2 linked regions of the Anolis sagrei genome follow. The protein of the gene in region 1 binds, or shares a complex with, the protein of each later gene. Links are inferred from orthologs where the notes say so. Each region holds a gene or a part of one and is shown in the gene's direction. Other genes may lie near its edges.

Region 1 (7,372 bases):
CTTTCCCCTTTCTTCCCTCCCTCCTTCCCTTCCTTGCCTACTTTCTCCTTTCTCCAGCTCTAAGATGGCCTACCTCCTTTCTCTTCCCTTCTTTTTCTTTCATTTCCCTCTCTTTCCTATCATTTTGTCTTTTCTTCTTAACTTCCTTGCGTACTTTCTCCTTTCTCCAGCTCTAAGATGGCCTACCTTTCTCTTCCATCCTTTTTCTTCCATTTTACTCCCCCCTTTCCTTTCTTTCCTGTCATTTTTCTCTTTTCTTCCTTCTTCCCTTGCCTCCTTTCTCCAGCTCTAAGGTGGCCTCCCTGCGTTCTCTTTCTTCCTTTTTCTTTCTTCTATCTCTCCCTCTTTTCTGTCCTATCATTTTTCTCTTTCATTTCTTCTTCCCATCCCTGCCTGCTTTTTCCTTTCTCCAGCTCTAAGATGCCCTACCTCCTTTCTCTCCCTTCCCTTCTGTTTTTTTCTTTTGTGTCCTTCCCTTGTTTCCTTTCTTTCCTATCGTTTTTGTTTTGCCTTCCTTCTTTTCTTCCTTGCTTCCTTTCTCCAGCTCTAAGGTGGCCTCCCTGCATTCTCTTTCTTCCTTTTTCTTTCTTCCATCTCCCTCTCTCTTTTCTTTCCTATCATTTTTCTCATTTCTTCCCATCCCTGCCTGCTTTATCCTTTCTCCAGCTCTAAGATGTCCTACCTCCTTTCTCTCCCTTCCTTTCCGTTCTTTTTCTTTTGTGTCCTTCCCTTGTTTCCTTTCTTTCCTATCATTTTTGTTTTGCCTTCCTTCTTCCCTTCCTTGCCTCCGTTCTCAAGCTCTAAGGTGGCCTACCGGCTTTCTCTTCTTTCCCATTTCTTTCATTTCTCCCTCCCTCATTTCCATTCTTTCCTATCATTTTCTCTTTCCTTTCTTCTCCCCTTCCTTGCCTACTTTCTCCTTTCTGCAGCTCCAAGAAGGCCTACTTTGCAATGCTTCTGTGGCAAAGCTGTGGCAGGCTCTCTTTGTGGCTCTTTCTTTCCGTCCTTCCTTCCATTGTCCTCATATGCCCCCTTCTCTCTCTTTCTTTCTCCATCCCTTACATCCCTCCATCCTTTGCCTTCCCTCCCGTTTCTTTATTTCTTCACATTTTTGAAAAATCACAATGATGCTATCTGTAAAACGGGATTTTGAACCCCAAGACAAACCACAGACGGCCTCTTTGGGTTCCTTTATAATAGTCTTGCTTCGTTAAAGCGAAACCTAAGCACTAAACCATAATGTAAGCGGATGCTTTCCCAGAAGGAAAACGTTTGAGATGATTATCCACATTTCCAAAGGAAGGGTTGCCTATCTGCATTTCAAATCAGGCCGAGCTGCATCTCGGGACCAGAGTCTAAATGGGCTTTGACATTAATACCATTTCCGCATGCCATCTCTCCTCAAGGCTGGCCGGCAGTCTAAATTAGGGAGACTGAGAAAGCATTTCATTTGCCACTGGAGGGATCCAGCGGGTTGAATGCACTTATGAATAGCTGCTGAAGATAATGGGCCACTGCTTGAGCAGTCATTGCGTGCATCTACACTGTAGAATTCATGCAGTTAGAGACCCTTTTTGACTGCCATGCTTTCCCTCCCCACTGAAATCCTCTATAATTTTCTCCCTTCCGCTCTTCTCTCATTCTCATCTGAACTTTTCCTCCTCTTCTTTAGGCCTTCCTTTTGCCCATCATCCCACTTTCCCTCCTTTTGATTACATCTTCTTTCGTTCATCCATCTTCCCTTCCTTTACCTCTTTTGGCCTTCCAGTGCCCTTCCTAACCTCCTTCCTTCCATTAATCTTTCGCTCCTCCCTCATTTCCTTCTTCCCCTTCTTTAACCTTGCCTCTCTTTTGACCTTCCTTCCCACTTCCTTTTCTTCCTGTGCCCTTTCTTCCCTTTTCTTCCTCCCTCATTTTCTTCCTTTTCCCTCTTCTTTCTTTTCCCTTCCCTGCTTCCTCCCTCCTCTCCTTCTCCCCATCCCTTGTCCTTCCCTTTCTTTTGACCTTCCTTTCCTTTTCTCCCTTTTCCTTCGTTTCTTTCTTCCTTGTCCTTTCTTTTTCCTTCCCTTCTTCCTCCCTCATCTCCTTCTTCCATCTCCTTGCATTCTTTTATTTTTTTTACCCCTTTTTCCTTCTTCCCTTCCCTTGTCCTTTTCTTTCTCTTGACCTTCATTCCCACTTCTTTTTTCCTGTGCCCTTCCTCCCTCATTTCCTTCCTTTCCTTGAGCTCTCTTCTTTTTCCTTCCCACTTCTCTCTCTTTTTAACTTCCTTCCCTCATCCTCCTGTTCTTCCTCCCTCATTTCCTTCTCCCCTCCTATCTTCTCCTTCTTTCTTCACCTTCCTTCCCACTTCCTTTGATTCATGTGCTATTCCTTCCTTCATTGTCCTCTTCCTCCTCCTTCCCTTTCCTCGTCCTTTTCTTCTTCCTCCCACATTTCCTCCTCCCTCCCTTCTCTCAATCTCTCCCTCCCTTTTGACCTTCCTTCCCACTTTCTTTTCATTTCCTTCTCCCCTTCCCCTCTCCTCTTCCTTTTGACCTTCCTCCCCACTTCCTCTTCTTCATGTGCCCTTAACTTCCCTCATCGCCCTTAACTTCTTCCTTCCTCTTCTTCTTCCCTTATCCTTACCCTTCCCTCCCTCACCCTCCTGTTCTTTCTCCCTCATTTCCTTCTCTCCCTCCTTTTGTCTTCTCTCTTGACCTTCCCACTTTCTTTTCTTCCCGTGCCCTTTCTCCCCATTAATCTCCTTTACTTTTATAACGCCTTCTTCCTCATTTCCTGCTTGTCTTTCCCTTCTTCCTCCCTTTCTCATCTTCACTTTCCTTGTTTTGACCTTCCTTCCCACTTCTTTTTCCTCCCTGTGCCCTTCCTTCCCTTTTCTCTATCTTCTTTCTCATGTCCTTATTCCCCTCCCTCTTGACCTTCCTCCCCACTTACTTTTCTTCCTGTGCCCTTCCCTTTTCTCCCTCTTTCTTCTCCCCATCTCCTTCTCCCCTTCCCTCTCTTTTGACCTTCCTTCCCTTTTCTCCCTCTTTTCCTTCCTCATTTCTCTCTTCTTTTTCCTTTCCTTCTTCCTGCCTCCTTCGTTTCCTTCCCTTCCCCTCTTTTAGTTCTTTTTTATCCCTTCTTCCCTTCCATTGTCCTTCCCTCTTTTGACCTTCCTTCTCACTTCCTTTTCTTCCTGTCCCCCTCCTTCTTAATTTCCTTCTCCCATTCCTTGTTCCATCTTTCTTTCTTTTTTCTTCCCTTCTTCCCTCTCTTTTGATCTTCATACCCTCATCTTCCTGTTTTTCCTCCCTCATTTCCTCTTCCCCTCCCCTTGTCTTTTCCTTTTCTCTTGACCTTCCTCCCCACTTCTTTTTCTTCCAGTGTCCTTTCTTCACATTCATGTCCTTCCCCTCTCATTTCCTGCTTGTCTTTCCCTTCTTCCTACCTCCCTCATCTTCCCTTTCCTTGTCTCTCTTTTAACCTTCCTTCCATCTTCCTTTTCCTCCCTGTGCCCTTCTCTTCCCTTTCTCATTTCCTTCTTCCATCCTCTTGTCTTCTTTTCTTTTGACCTTCCTTCTCACTTCCTTTTCCTCTGTGTGCCCTTCCTTTCTTTCCTTTCCTCTTTCTCATTTCCTTCTTCCCTTTCCTTCTCCCATCCTCGTCTTCTTTTCTTTTGACCTTCCTTCTCACTTCCTTTTCCTCTGTGTGCCCTTCCTTTCTTTCCTTTCCTCTTTCTCATTTCCTTCTTTCCTTTCCTTCTCCCATCCTCTTGTCTTCTTTTCTTCTGACCTTCCTTCTCACTTCCTTTTCCTCTGTGTGCCCTTCCTTTCTTTCCTTTCCTCTTTCTCATTTCCTTCTTCCCTTTCCTTCTCCCATCCTCTTGTCTTCTTTTCTTTTGACCTTCCTTCTCACTTCCTTTTCCTCCTTGTGCCCTTCTTTTCCCATTCTCTTTCTCATTTCCTTCTTCCCTTTCCTTCTCCCGTCCTCTTGTCTTCTCCTTCTCTTTTGACCTTTCTTCCCACTTCCTTTTCTTCCCTTTTCTCTCTCTCCTTACTCATTTCCTTCTTCCCTCTCCCTTGTCCTTCCCTTTTGACCTTTCCTCTCTCATCCTCTTGTTCTTCCTCCTGCAATGCCTTCTTGACTTTCCTTGTCCTCTCTTTTTCCCTTCTCTCTTGACCTTCCTCCCCACTTCCTTCTCCTCATTTCCTCTCCTCCTCAGCCTCCCCCTTTTGACCTTCCCTTTTCTTTCCCGCCTTCCTTGGCCCCGCCCCTTTCCCCGGAGGCCCCGCCCCTTTCCCCCTTCCTCTCCAGAGCGGCTGCCGCAGGAGCCGGGCGCGCCGGGCGCGGAGTGCGCGTGCGCGGGGGAGTGGGCGGGGCCTGGCGCGCCTGGCCTCTCCGGCATGCGGGCGGGCGGCAGTCGCGGCGGCGTCGCGGTGGAGGACAGCACGATGGGTTCGCGGGCCGGGAAAGGCGGCTCCCCGAACGGCGAGTGCCGGCGGGGCGGCGGGGGAGCCGAGCCTGCGCCCCCCAAGGTCTCCTTCTCCTGCGACGGAGGGGGCGGCGGGGGCTCGGGCTCGTCCCCGAAGGCGGGCGAGGATGCCGGGCCCGGGGCCTGCGAGGAGGGTGGCGAGCCCCGCGGAAGCGGCACCAACCAGGGGCCCACCTTCATGCAGCGCCAGTTCAGCGCCATGCTCCAGCCCGGCGTCAACAAGTTCTCGCTGCGGATGTTCGGCTCCCAGAAGGCCGTCGAGCGCGAGCAGGAGCGCGTCAAGTCCGCCGGCGCCTGGATCATCCACCCCTACAGCGACTTCAGGCGAGGAAGCGGAGCGAGGGAGGGAAGGGAGGGAGGCCTGGCTCGCGGAGTCACGTTCGCCCCAGCGAGATTCCCCTCGCTGGGGAAATTAAATTACCTCAGGGACAGAAGTCAAATGGCCCCGGGACATTTTACCTGGGAGACATTTCACCTCAGGAGAATTCCCTCTGGCAAGTCAAATTACTTCAGGGAAAATCACCTTGGGACAATTCACCTCAGGGACATTTACCTCGGAACAATTCACCTCAGGGAAGTTTATGTCAGGGAAATTTACCTCGGGAGAATTTACCCCCATGACATTTACCTCAGCACAATTCACCTCAGAGAAATTTACCTCGGGAGAATTCACCTCAGGGAAGGTAAATTACCTCAGGGAAGTTCACCTCAGGAAAATTTACTTCCAGACAGTTTACCTCAGGCCAGTTACCTCAGGGAAATTTTCCTCAGGATAATTCATCTCAGGGAAGTTGAATTACCTCAGGGAAATTCGCCTCAGGAGAATTACCTCAGTGATATTCACCTCTGCAAAATTTACATCAGGAGAATTCACCGCTGCAAAATTTACCCAGGACAATTTACTGTAGGAGAATTACCTCCATGACATTTACCTCAGGGAAATCTACCTTGGGACAGTTCATCTCAGGGAAGTTAATTTACCTCAGAGAAATTCATCTCAGAACAATTCACCTCCATGACATTTACCTCAGGGCAATTCACCTCCGGGGAAATTTACCTCAAGACAATTCACCTCAGGGAAATTTACCTCAGGAGAATTACCTCAGGGAAGTCAAATTGCACTGGGACATTTTATGTAGGAGAGATTTACCTCAGGAGAATTACCTCATGGAAGTTAAATTACCTCAGGACAATTACCTCTGGAAAGGCAAATTACTTCAGTTAAGTTTACCTCAGAACAATTTGCCTCATGACATTTTACATCAGGAGAATTACATTACCTCAGTTAAGTTCCCCCGTGGAATGTCAAATTGCCCCAAGTTTACCTCAGGAGAATTACCCCAGGACAGTTTACCACAGGGAAGTCAAAATTGCCTCTGGACATTTTACCTGAGAGAGATTTACCTCACAACAATTTACCTCAGAGAAGTTAAATTTATCTCAGAAGAATTGCCTTTGGAAAGTCAAATTAACCTGGGGAATTTACCTGAGGGAAATTTACCTCAAGACATTTTACCTCAGGGAAGTTCAATTACCTCTGGGACATTTACCTCACAAAAGTTGAGTTACCTTGGAACATTTACCTCAGAGGAATTACCTCTGGGAAATTTACCTTAGGAGAATTATCTCTGGGAAGTTAAATTATCTCAGGGGGATTCCCTCTGGACATTCTACCTCTGTGAAGTTAAATTACCTCTGGGGTGTTTACCTCAGTAGAATTGCCTCTGGACATTTTACCACATGGAAGTTACTCTTCCTTGGGGAAATGTCCCTCAGATAGTGAGGAAACTGGGCATTTCCTCAATGGAGTGGTGGCTCCATTGAGGAACTAGGAGTTTGGGGGCATTGCCTCTGAGGGATTGCCTCCGGTTAGTTTGTATTTGTCACTCTGCAAAGATTGGATGTCTTTATCTTGGGGAAATAACCTCTGGTAGTGGCAAAGCTTTGTTGTGTTGGTATTCTACAAGAATTCAGGGAAATGGGATCGGAGAGCGTGCCTTCAGAGTCATGAAAGATATGAATGTGATGGAAGAGGTACTTTCCTTGGACAACTTGCCCAAGAAAACTCTGTGATAAGTTTGTTTTATGGGGTCACCATAAGTTGAAGGAACACCACAAAGTAAGAAAGAGGCAGCTTTAGAGTAAATTCAGAAGAGACAGAAGGCTCTTCTCATCCTGAAAGTTTCTGTAGGAGAGAAATCGGAAGCAGTTAGCGAGACACCTTGGGATAGGGACAAGGAGCAAATACTTTGGGATAGGGACAAGGAACAATTACCATGGGATAGGGACAAGGGACAGTTACCTTGGGGTAGGGATAAGAAACAATTACCTTGGGATAAGAACAATATAAGCAAGTGTTCAGCAATTGTCCTCTAATCTCCCTTTCCATTGAAATGTGGGAAAGAGAGAAATATCCGGGTTTGGTTTTTTTTATCGTGTTAGGAGCGACTTGAGAAACTGCAAATCGCTTCTGGTATGAGAGAATTGGCCGTCTGCAAGGACATTGCCCAGGGGATGCCCGAATGATTCGATGTTTTATCATCCTTGTGGGAGGCTTCTCTCATGTCCCCTCATGAGGAGCTGGAGTTGATAGAGGGAGCTCATCCGCCTCTCCCCGGATTCAAACCTGCGACCTGTTGGTCTTCAGTCCTGCCGGCACAGGGATTTAACCCACTGCGCCACCGGGGTAGCCACCCACGAGTAGTGTTGGATGGCAGTGTGCACTGATAATTCTCATTGAAGGATCAGGAATTTCATCTCTGCTGAATCTGGAGGAAAGAAAGAAAAAGAAGATTGGGAGTAACTGCCCTTGTATTATTGTTATCATCATCATCCTTTCATGCTAGTGGCAAATTTGTAGCTAGCCGTAAGGTAATTTCAAGTGAGACAGAAGAT
Region 2 (6,897 bases), on another chromosome or scaffold:
ATTTATTGCTATGGGATCCTGGGAGCTGTTTTACAAGGTCTTTAGACTTGTCTGCCAAAGAATGCCAAAGAATGCTGCTGCCTCACCAAATTATGAATCCCAGCATTGCATAGCATTGAGCCAGGGCAGTTAAAAGTGGTGTCAGCCATGAAAGAAAGGAGAGGAGAGGTGGAGAGATACAGAGAGGATGAAGGAGATCTCAATAGGAAAGAAAAGGAAAAAGGGGTTTGGAGAGATCGATAGGAAGAAAAGGAGAAAGGGTTTGGGGGGATTGATAGGAAGAACAAGGAAAGGGGGTTTGAAAAGATCAATAGGAAGGAAGGGGAAAGGGCATTTAGAGAGATCAATAGGAAGAACAAAGAAAGAAGTTTGCAGGGATCCATAGGAAGAAAAGTAGTTTGGATATCAATAGGAAGAAAAAGGAAATGAGTTTGGAGAGATATAGACATGCTTTGGCTCAGCGCTAAGATTTTATGGCAAGGAGAGAGATGGAAGAAGCTTGTTCATAACTATGAGTTGTTCATAACTTGGAAGTTATTAACTCAGAGACTGGCAGTAATTTGATAGTCATTCCAAGTAACACTAACAAGTCTTAGGCTACATCATGAGACTCAGTCCTTGTATTATGGAGTGAGTGAAGTAGGGGGCTCATAACTAAATCCATAAGCTCCACTTCCTAATCTTCTCCAGTTTTAACCTTTCCAGGGTCAGTAAGGGGAGTGCCTATTACTTGGGATTAATGCACTTTCCACTTCAGCAAAAGGTAGTGTGATATAGGTGCGTCAACCGAAAACTACGCTAAATGCAGGTGAGGAAAAACACAAAACCTTTGTTATCTCTAGTATCCCCCCCCCCTTTTTTTTTTTTACAGTTCATTAGTCCCTGATAGCATTAATCTCAGGATGTGTCAGAAGTGGTTGTATTGTGATCTCTTTGAGAATAGCAGCTGATCTTAGACCATTAGACTTGGTTCCCTTTGAATGTTCATCTAAGTGGCAGGTAGCTTGCAGAGCAGGAGATCTGACAGATGAAACAGCCAGTAGAAATTAAGGATGCCATTGGGAAATTTACCTGTCCGCCCTTTTTTTAACAGAGAGAGTTCCTCCTAGCTGGAAAAAAATGGGGGAGGTATCAGAATCATTACTTTGTCTATCTTGGAGGATAAGAGACATGAAGTAGGTAATTGGGATAATTTGGTATTGAGTAGATTTTTCTTGTGAAGCGGGATAATAGCTTCTCAGATTACATAGAGTCACTTCTTTTAATGATGTCACTGTAATGGATATTCACATGCCAAACAGGAAAGCATTATATATCATAATAAATAATAATAGTATCTGTATGTATTGAATAATATATATAAAGCATTTTCAGCTGGAAAAGGAGAATAAGAAACCAATAGAATTTAATGAGGCATGAGGATGCACAATAGGCAAAGAAGGCTGAGTTACTCTTGGAGGTGGTTGACAATGGACCATTGGGTAGAAAGGGAAATGGGATGGATTTTGCTGACACAGGATCTGAGCGAGTGAAATTTTGAACAGGAGCAGTTAACCATGCAAGATCTTGTTGATGGTTGCATTGTTGTCAGTTCTGGCCCAACTAACCTGTCCAAACACATCTTCTCCTATGAACCAGCTAGGACAGTGGTTCTCAACCTGGGGTTCCCAGATGTTTTTGGCCTACAACTCCCAGAAATCCCAGCCAGTTTACCAGCTGTTAGGATTTCTGGGAATTGTAGGCCAAAAATATCTGGGGACCCCAGATTGAGAATCACTGAGCTAGGACATTAAGATCGTCTGGGGAGGCCCTGCTCTTGATCCCACCTGCATCACAAGTACATTTGGCGGGGACGAGAGACAGGGCCTTCTCAGTGGTGGCCCCTCGGCTGTGGAATGCCCTTCCTACAGAAATTAAATCAACCCCCTCCCTGTTAGCATTTCGGAGGAAAGTGAAGACCTGGTTGTTCGAGGAGGCATTTGAATAGGCAGTGTAACGAATATAGGAATATGGAACAATTGGATGATGAGACTAGATCTTGATTTTAACTATGGACAGTATGAGATGTTATATGATGTTTAATTTATTGTTATAATGCTATTGTTTTAATTGTTTTTAACTGTTTTATGATGTTTTACGCATTGAATTTTGCTATTGTGAATCGCTCTAAGTCGCCCGAGGGCTGAGAAGAGCGGTATGCAAATATAATAAATAAATAAATAAATTTACATTGTATAATGCCCAGGTCTTTAGTCCATCACGGTGGACCTCAGGCCCTATTGCCTAAACCAGCCTTTTTGGGATCACAATCCAGACTACAGTTTATTCTTTCAGCATCATATTTACCTCCACCTGATCCCAGGTTCAGATCTCATCCCTTAAAATGTTTCCCCGTTTCTAGATGTTTGAAATGCTTATCCCAGGAGGTAATAACTAGCATATTTGTTAGTAAAGTCTAAATTTGCCAGCACTTTTGCTTGTGGGCTCAATCCTAGCTGTCTCTGAAATTGGATCTGCTTCCACTTTTGCTTTCAACTGTGTATGTGTGTGTATGAGAGAGAGAGAGCATGAAAGAGAGAGAAAAGCTTTAAAGCAGAAACATCACTTCAGGCAGTTGAAAACCCATGGAGTTCAACTGAGGAAGAGTGAAGAGTGGGAGTGAGAAACAGAGCAAGCCAAAGGAGTTAGATGGAAAGATTTAAGTGATAAGTGAGTGAAAGGATTGTGAGGGAGAGGGTTAGTCAGAGAAAGAGATAAGTGATTCATCAGATAAAGCCCATTTGTTGCTTGATTTCTCTCAATAATAATTCATAAGTTCTTTGATACTTTTAGTACCTCTTGCTGCATGCCTACTTTCACTTTTTTTTTCTGTTCTCTGCCTGTTTTGAGGGGTGGCAACTGTCAAGTATTTCACATGGAATAGTGCCATTATGTCTCAAAAACATGCTGAGCTTTAGCAAACTACAAATCCCAGGATTCCATAACATTGAGCCATGGCAAGTAAAGTGGTGTCGAACTGCATTCCTTCTACAGTGTAGATGCTCAGGAAGTCAGTGTGGAAAATTATCCATACTGGAAATACAAAGTTTTATTTTTTTTTCTTTTAAAAATTCCAAGCTATTAGGACTACAGTATTATTATATTTTATATCAATGGGATGTGTTATTAATTGCTTATTCCTTTTTTTGTATTTTACTGTATTGTACTTTATTGTATTATTCATGTTGTAAGCCACCCCAAGTCCCCTGGGAAGAGGAATTGGGATAGAAAAAAACATTATTATTATTATTATTATTATTATTATTATTATTTGAAAAAAAACAAGATGAGTCCACAGGAGACACTCTGCTGGCTGTTGAATTGGATCACACGTCGGACACTTCCCAAGTGTCTAGGACTGTGTGATGTATCGGCAAATAATGCATGCAGATCCCAGTAAGGTGGTCTTCTGCAGCTGGCAGATAGTAATTTTGTCAGCGCCGATTGTGTTTAAGTGCAGGCCAAGGTCTTTAGGCACTGCACCCAATGTGCCGATCACCACTGGGACCACCTTGGCTGGCTTGTGCCAGAGTCTTTGCAGTTTGATCTTTAAATCTTCATATTGTGTCAACTTTTCTAGTTGTTTCACTTCGATCATGCTGTCACCTGGGATTGCAACATAGACAATCCATACTTTGTTGTTGTTATTATTATTATTATATTGGGTTTTTTTATTGCTGCATTTTAAAATATACCCTTTCCCCAATGAACACCAGCCAGTTTTCCACTATTATGACCCTAAAGTGCAAGTTGGGCTACAATACATTGACTTGACCTGCATTAGAGAGATTTTCTCAGGGCAAAGCTGAGATTAGAACCTGTGTAATCTTAGTCAACATTCTAGCACTCCACCCATTATGCTGGATAGGCTTCTCCTGTGCGAATAATATGTTGGAATTGCACTGCAGGAAGGGCATAGCAGATGGTTCTTTCTGTATGCAGTTCTTCTCAGGCTCTGTGATGTGCAGGGATGGCAACTGTTGTTTTCCAATGTGCCAGGTATGACATTTTGGTACAATTGTTTGTTTATTTATTTCCTGTAGACTTGCCAGGGACTGACAGGCAGTGATTCAGGGACCACTTTGAGTAGCACAGAGGTTGGGCAAGACTTCAGAACCCTGGACAGTTCTTTGCTCATCCAAAGGCATGGAGAAGGCAATAAACTTTGTGATGCTAATTTTTGAAATCATATGTTATCATTTAATGTGGTATTTTATGGAAAAAAAACATAGTGGTTAAAATTTTTGGTCCTTGTCCAAAAGGGACAAATGTGGTTCAACAACAGAGGAAAATGGGAAGCAAAAAGCAATACCACAGTGCAAAAGCCGCAAAAACAAGTACTAAAAATACTAAAAATGTAGTGGGATGGTGGTAGTAATGATTATTGTGATGATAGAAGCATTACAATCAGGAACATGTCAGATTTCTTATCCAGGTCGGCATCTTGTTTACCCTTCTAGCCAACTACCTTTCTCTAGGAAGCATACATTAAAACTTGGGTGGGCAACTGCGTTGGGAGGAAGAAATAGTTCTGTCCTCATTGTGTAGACTCTACTAACTGGCAATTGTGACCAAAAGTCATTTCTAGTTGTGACTCCTCTTTCAGTAGACAAGTGCATTAGTTTTTCCTTGGGGTTAAATTAACAACTTATTGATTTCCTAACATTCTAGACCAGGGGTCCTCAAACTTTTTAAACAGAGGGCCAGGTCACAGTCCCTCAAACTGTTGGAGGGCCAGATTATAATTTGAAAAAAGCATTAATGAATTCCTATGCACAATGCACATATCTTATTTGTCGTGCAAAAAACAGTTAAAAACAATACAATAATTAAAATGAATAACAATTTTAACAAATATAAACTTACTAGTATTTCAGTGGGAAGTGTGGGCCTGCTTTTGGCTGATGAGATAGGATTGTTGTTGTTGTTGTTGTTATTGTTGTGTGCTTTCAAGTCATTTCAGACTTAGGTTGACCCCAAGCAAGGGTCGGGTAAATGACCTTGGGGGGCCGTATCCAGCCCTTGGGCCTTAGTTTGAGGATCCCTGTTCTACACAATGTGAGGATGAAAATGTTTCAGAACCTGGAATTATCTGTATTGCTTATACATGCATATGAGCCTGTCCACCTAAAAAGAAGATGGAACAATCTTGTTTTGTGTTGTTCCAGAGACTACAAAACAAATGAATGGATTCAAATGTCAATGTGAATTGCACATAAAGGAAGACCAATGGTAGAAACTGCTCAATGGTGGAATAGAAAGTTTTGAAAAGTGGTGAACTCTCCATATTTGGAGATACACAAGATTTTGGACTGGCATCTTTCATTGGTATTTTCATCTGCATATTCCTGCATGGCAGGGGGTTAGACTGGATGGCCTTTGAGAGCAGATCTCACTTTATGATTCTTCAAAGAACACTTTGCATTACCTTTTACACATATGTTCAGGTTAGACATGACAGTTGGAGTCGATCTGGAGGTTCATAATTCCAGCAAAGTCCAAACACTAACTTTTCCAAGCTGTAGTTAAATAGTCCTTTAGTTTGAGCTGACAGAGATCTTTCTGTGTCCTGATGAGCAGCAACAGAAGAAGAGAAATGCATTGCAAGTTTCCATTACTTGGAAAATACAATTTACTTTCTTTCCTCTTAACACACACACACAAAATCTATTTCCTTTCTCCAACAATAGTCCTGAAAGATTTGCTAAGTTAGCATATTTGACCCAGCCTCGGAAGAGTCAGGTGCTACCACCCTGTTCTGCTCACCAATGGAAAATGCAGATTCCCAGGTGGCTTGCTATTCTGAACACCTGGGTGTTCTTTAAAAAGCACCTGCAGAATTGACAATGAGCAAGAAGGCAGCAGAATCTTATCGAGCGGTGTGCCTAGAGACCCAATTACTTTCCAGAGCAGTTGGAAAATTGGGTAGGGACAGAGATAACCTTGAAAAAAAATGTGAAAAGCCATGGTCTCACGTTTTAAAAATATAGATCTGCGTTGCCCTTCAGTGATGAACTTTAATTCCTCTCCAGGCTCTTGATCTCTGCAAAGAAGATGTGGGTTAGTGTAGTGACTACAAAGCCTGCAGAATCTAGGGCAATGTGTACATTTATGTCTACTTTTTAAAAGTTATCAAAGGATGTAATTTCTTTGAGCAATAAAGCAAATGGAGAACTTGATATTTCATCCAACCAACAATGGGTCACTTTTAGGACAAGTTCACATATTTCCATTTTTGTTAAGGGTGCATGAATGTGAAATGAGGCAGGTCTGGAACAAATTCCAGAGTAGATATCATAACAACGTGTGGTAAAGTGCAATATAGTGGCATAATTATGTAATGCAAAAAGATCCTAGCATTGCATTTGCAAAACAGTTGTCTCTCCATATTTGCAGTTTTGGTTATTCATATATTTCATTAAAACTGTTCTCTCTAGCATGTTTATGTCCTCAGGTGCTATTCTATATTTAGATTCCACTGGCTGTTGACCATAGGGTGGTACTGGAAAACCTAGAAATTTCTCGAGGGGGTAAATTTGATCTAAGAAAACTAATTAAAAATGGCTATAATGCCACCATACGTTTTGTAATCTTAATAGAAAAGCATTTGTTGTTTGTTGTTTTATACTTTCAAGTTGTTTCCAACATAAGGTGACCCTATCATGGAGCTTTTCTGGCAAGATTGGTTCAGAGGGGTTTGTCACTGCCTTCCTCTGAGGCTGAGAAAATGTGATTTGCCCAAGGCCATCACTGATATTTGCAGGCCTGAGCTGGAAACCTAAACTTCGTCTTCCAGAGCCCTCGTCCAACATTCAAAACAATACTACATTGGTTCTTTTACTTTTATCTCAATGGAGT

Evidence for each region. The genes of interacting proteins can lie anywhere in the genome.
Region 2: the proteins of HCN2 (region 1) and PEX5L are in contact, whole or in part, in a crystal structure (PDB 4EQF), measured with the Mus musculus proteins. The link is inferred for Anolis sagrei from reciprocal best matches to the Homo sapiens genes HCN2 and PEX5L. Residues at the interface, in NP_032252.1 of Mus musculus: Leu859, Ser860, Ser861, Asn862, Leu863; in NP_001156988.1 of Mus musculus: Glu315, Glu317, Val343, Asn347, His426, Asn453, Arg454, Ala457, Thr458, Ala460, Asn461, Tyr472, Arg484, Tyr487, Asn488, Ile491, Ile494, Ile537.

The regions. Positions count from the first base shown.
Region 1 is NC_090034.1:52,435,745-52,443,116, reverse strand, and holds the start of HCN2 (potassium/sodium hyperpolarization-activated cyclic nucleotide-gated channel 2), read left to right. Parts: upstream 1-4,388; coding exon 4,389-4,801; intron 4,802-7,372. UniProt on the Homo sapiens protein: Hyperpolarization-activated ion channel that is permeable to sodium and potassium ions. Displays lower selectivity for K(+) over Na(+) ions. Contributes to the native pacemaker currents in heart (If) and in neurons (Ih).
Region 2 is NC_090023.1:257,893,180-257,900,076, reverse strand, and holds the start of PEX5L (PEX5-related protein), read left to right. Parts: upstream 1-3,890; 5' UTR 3,891-3,927; coding exon 3,928-4,038; intron 4,039-6,897. UniProt on the Homo sapiens protein: Accessory subunit of hyperpolarization-activated cyclic nucleotide-gated (HCN) channels, regulating their cell-surface expression and cyclic nucleotide dependence.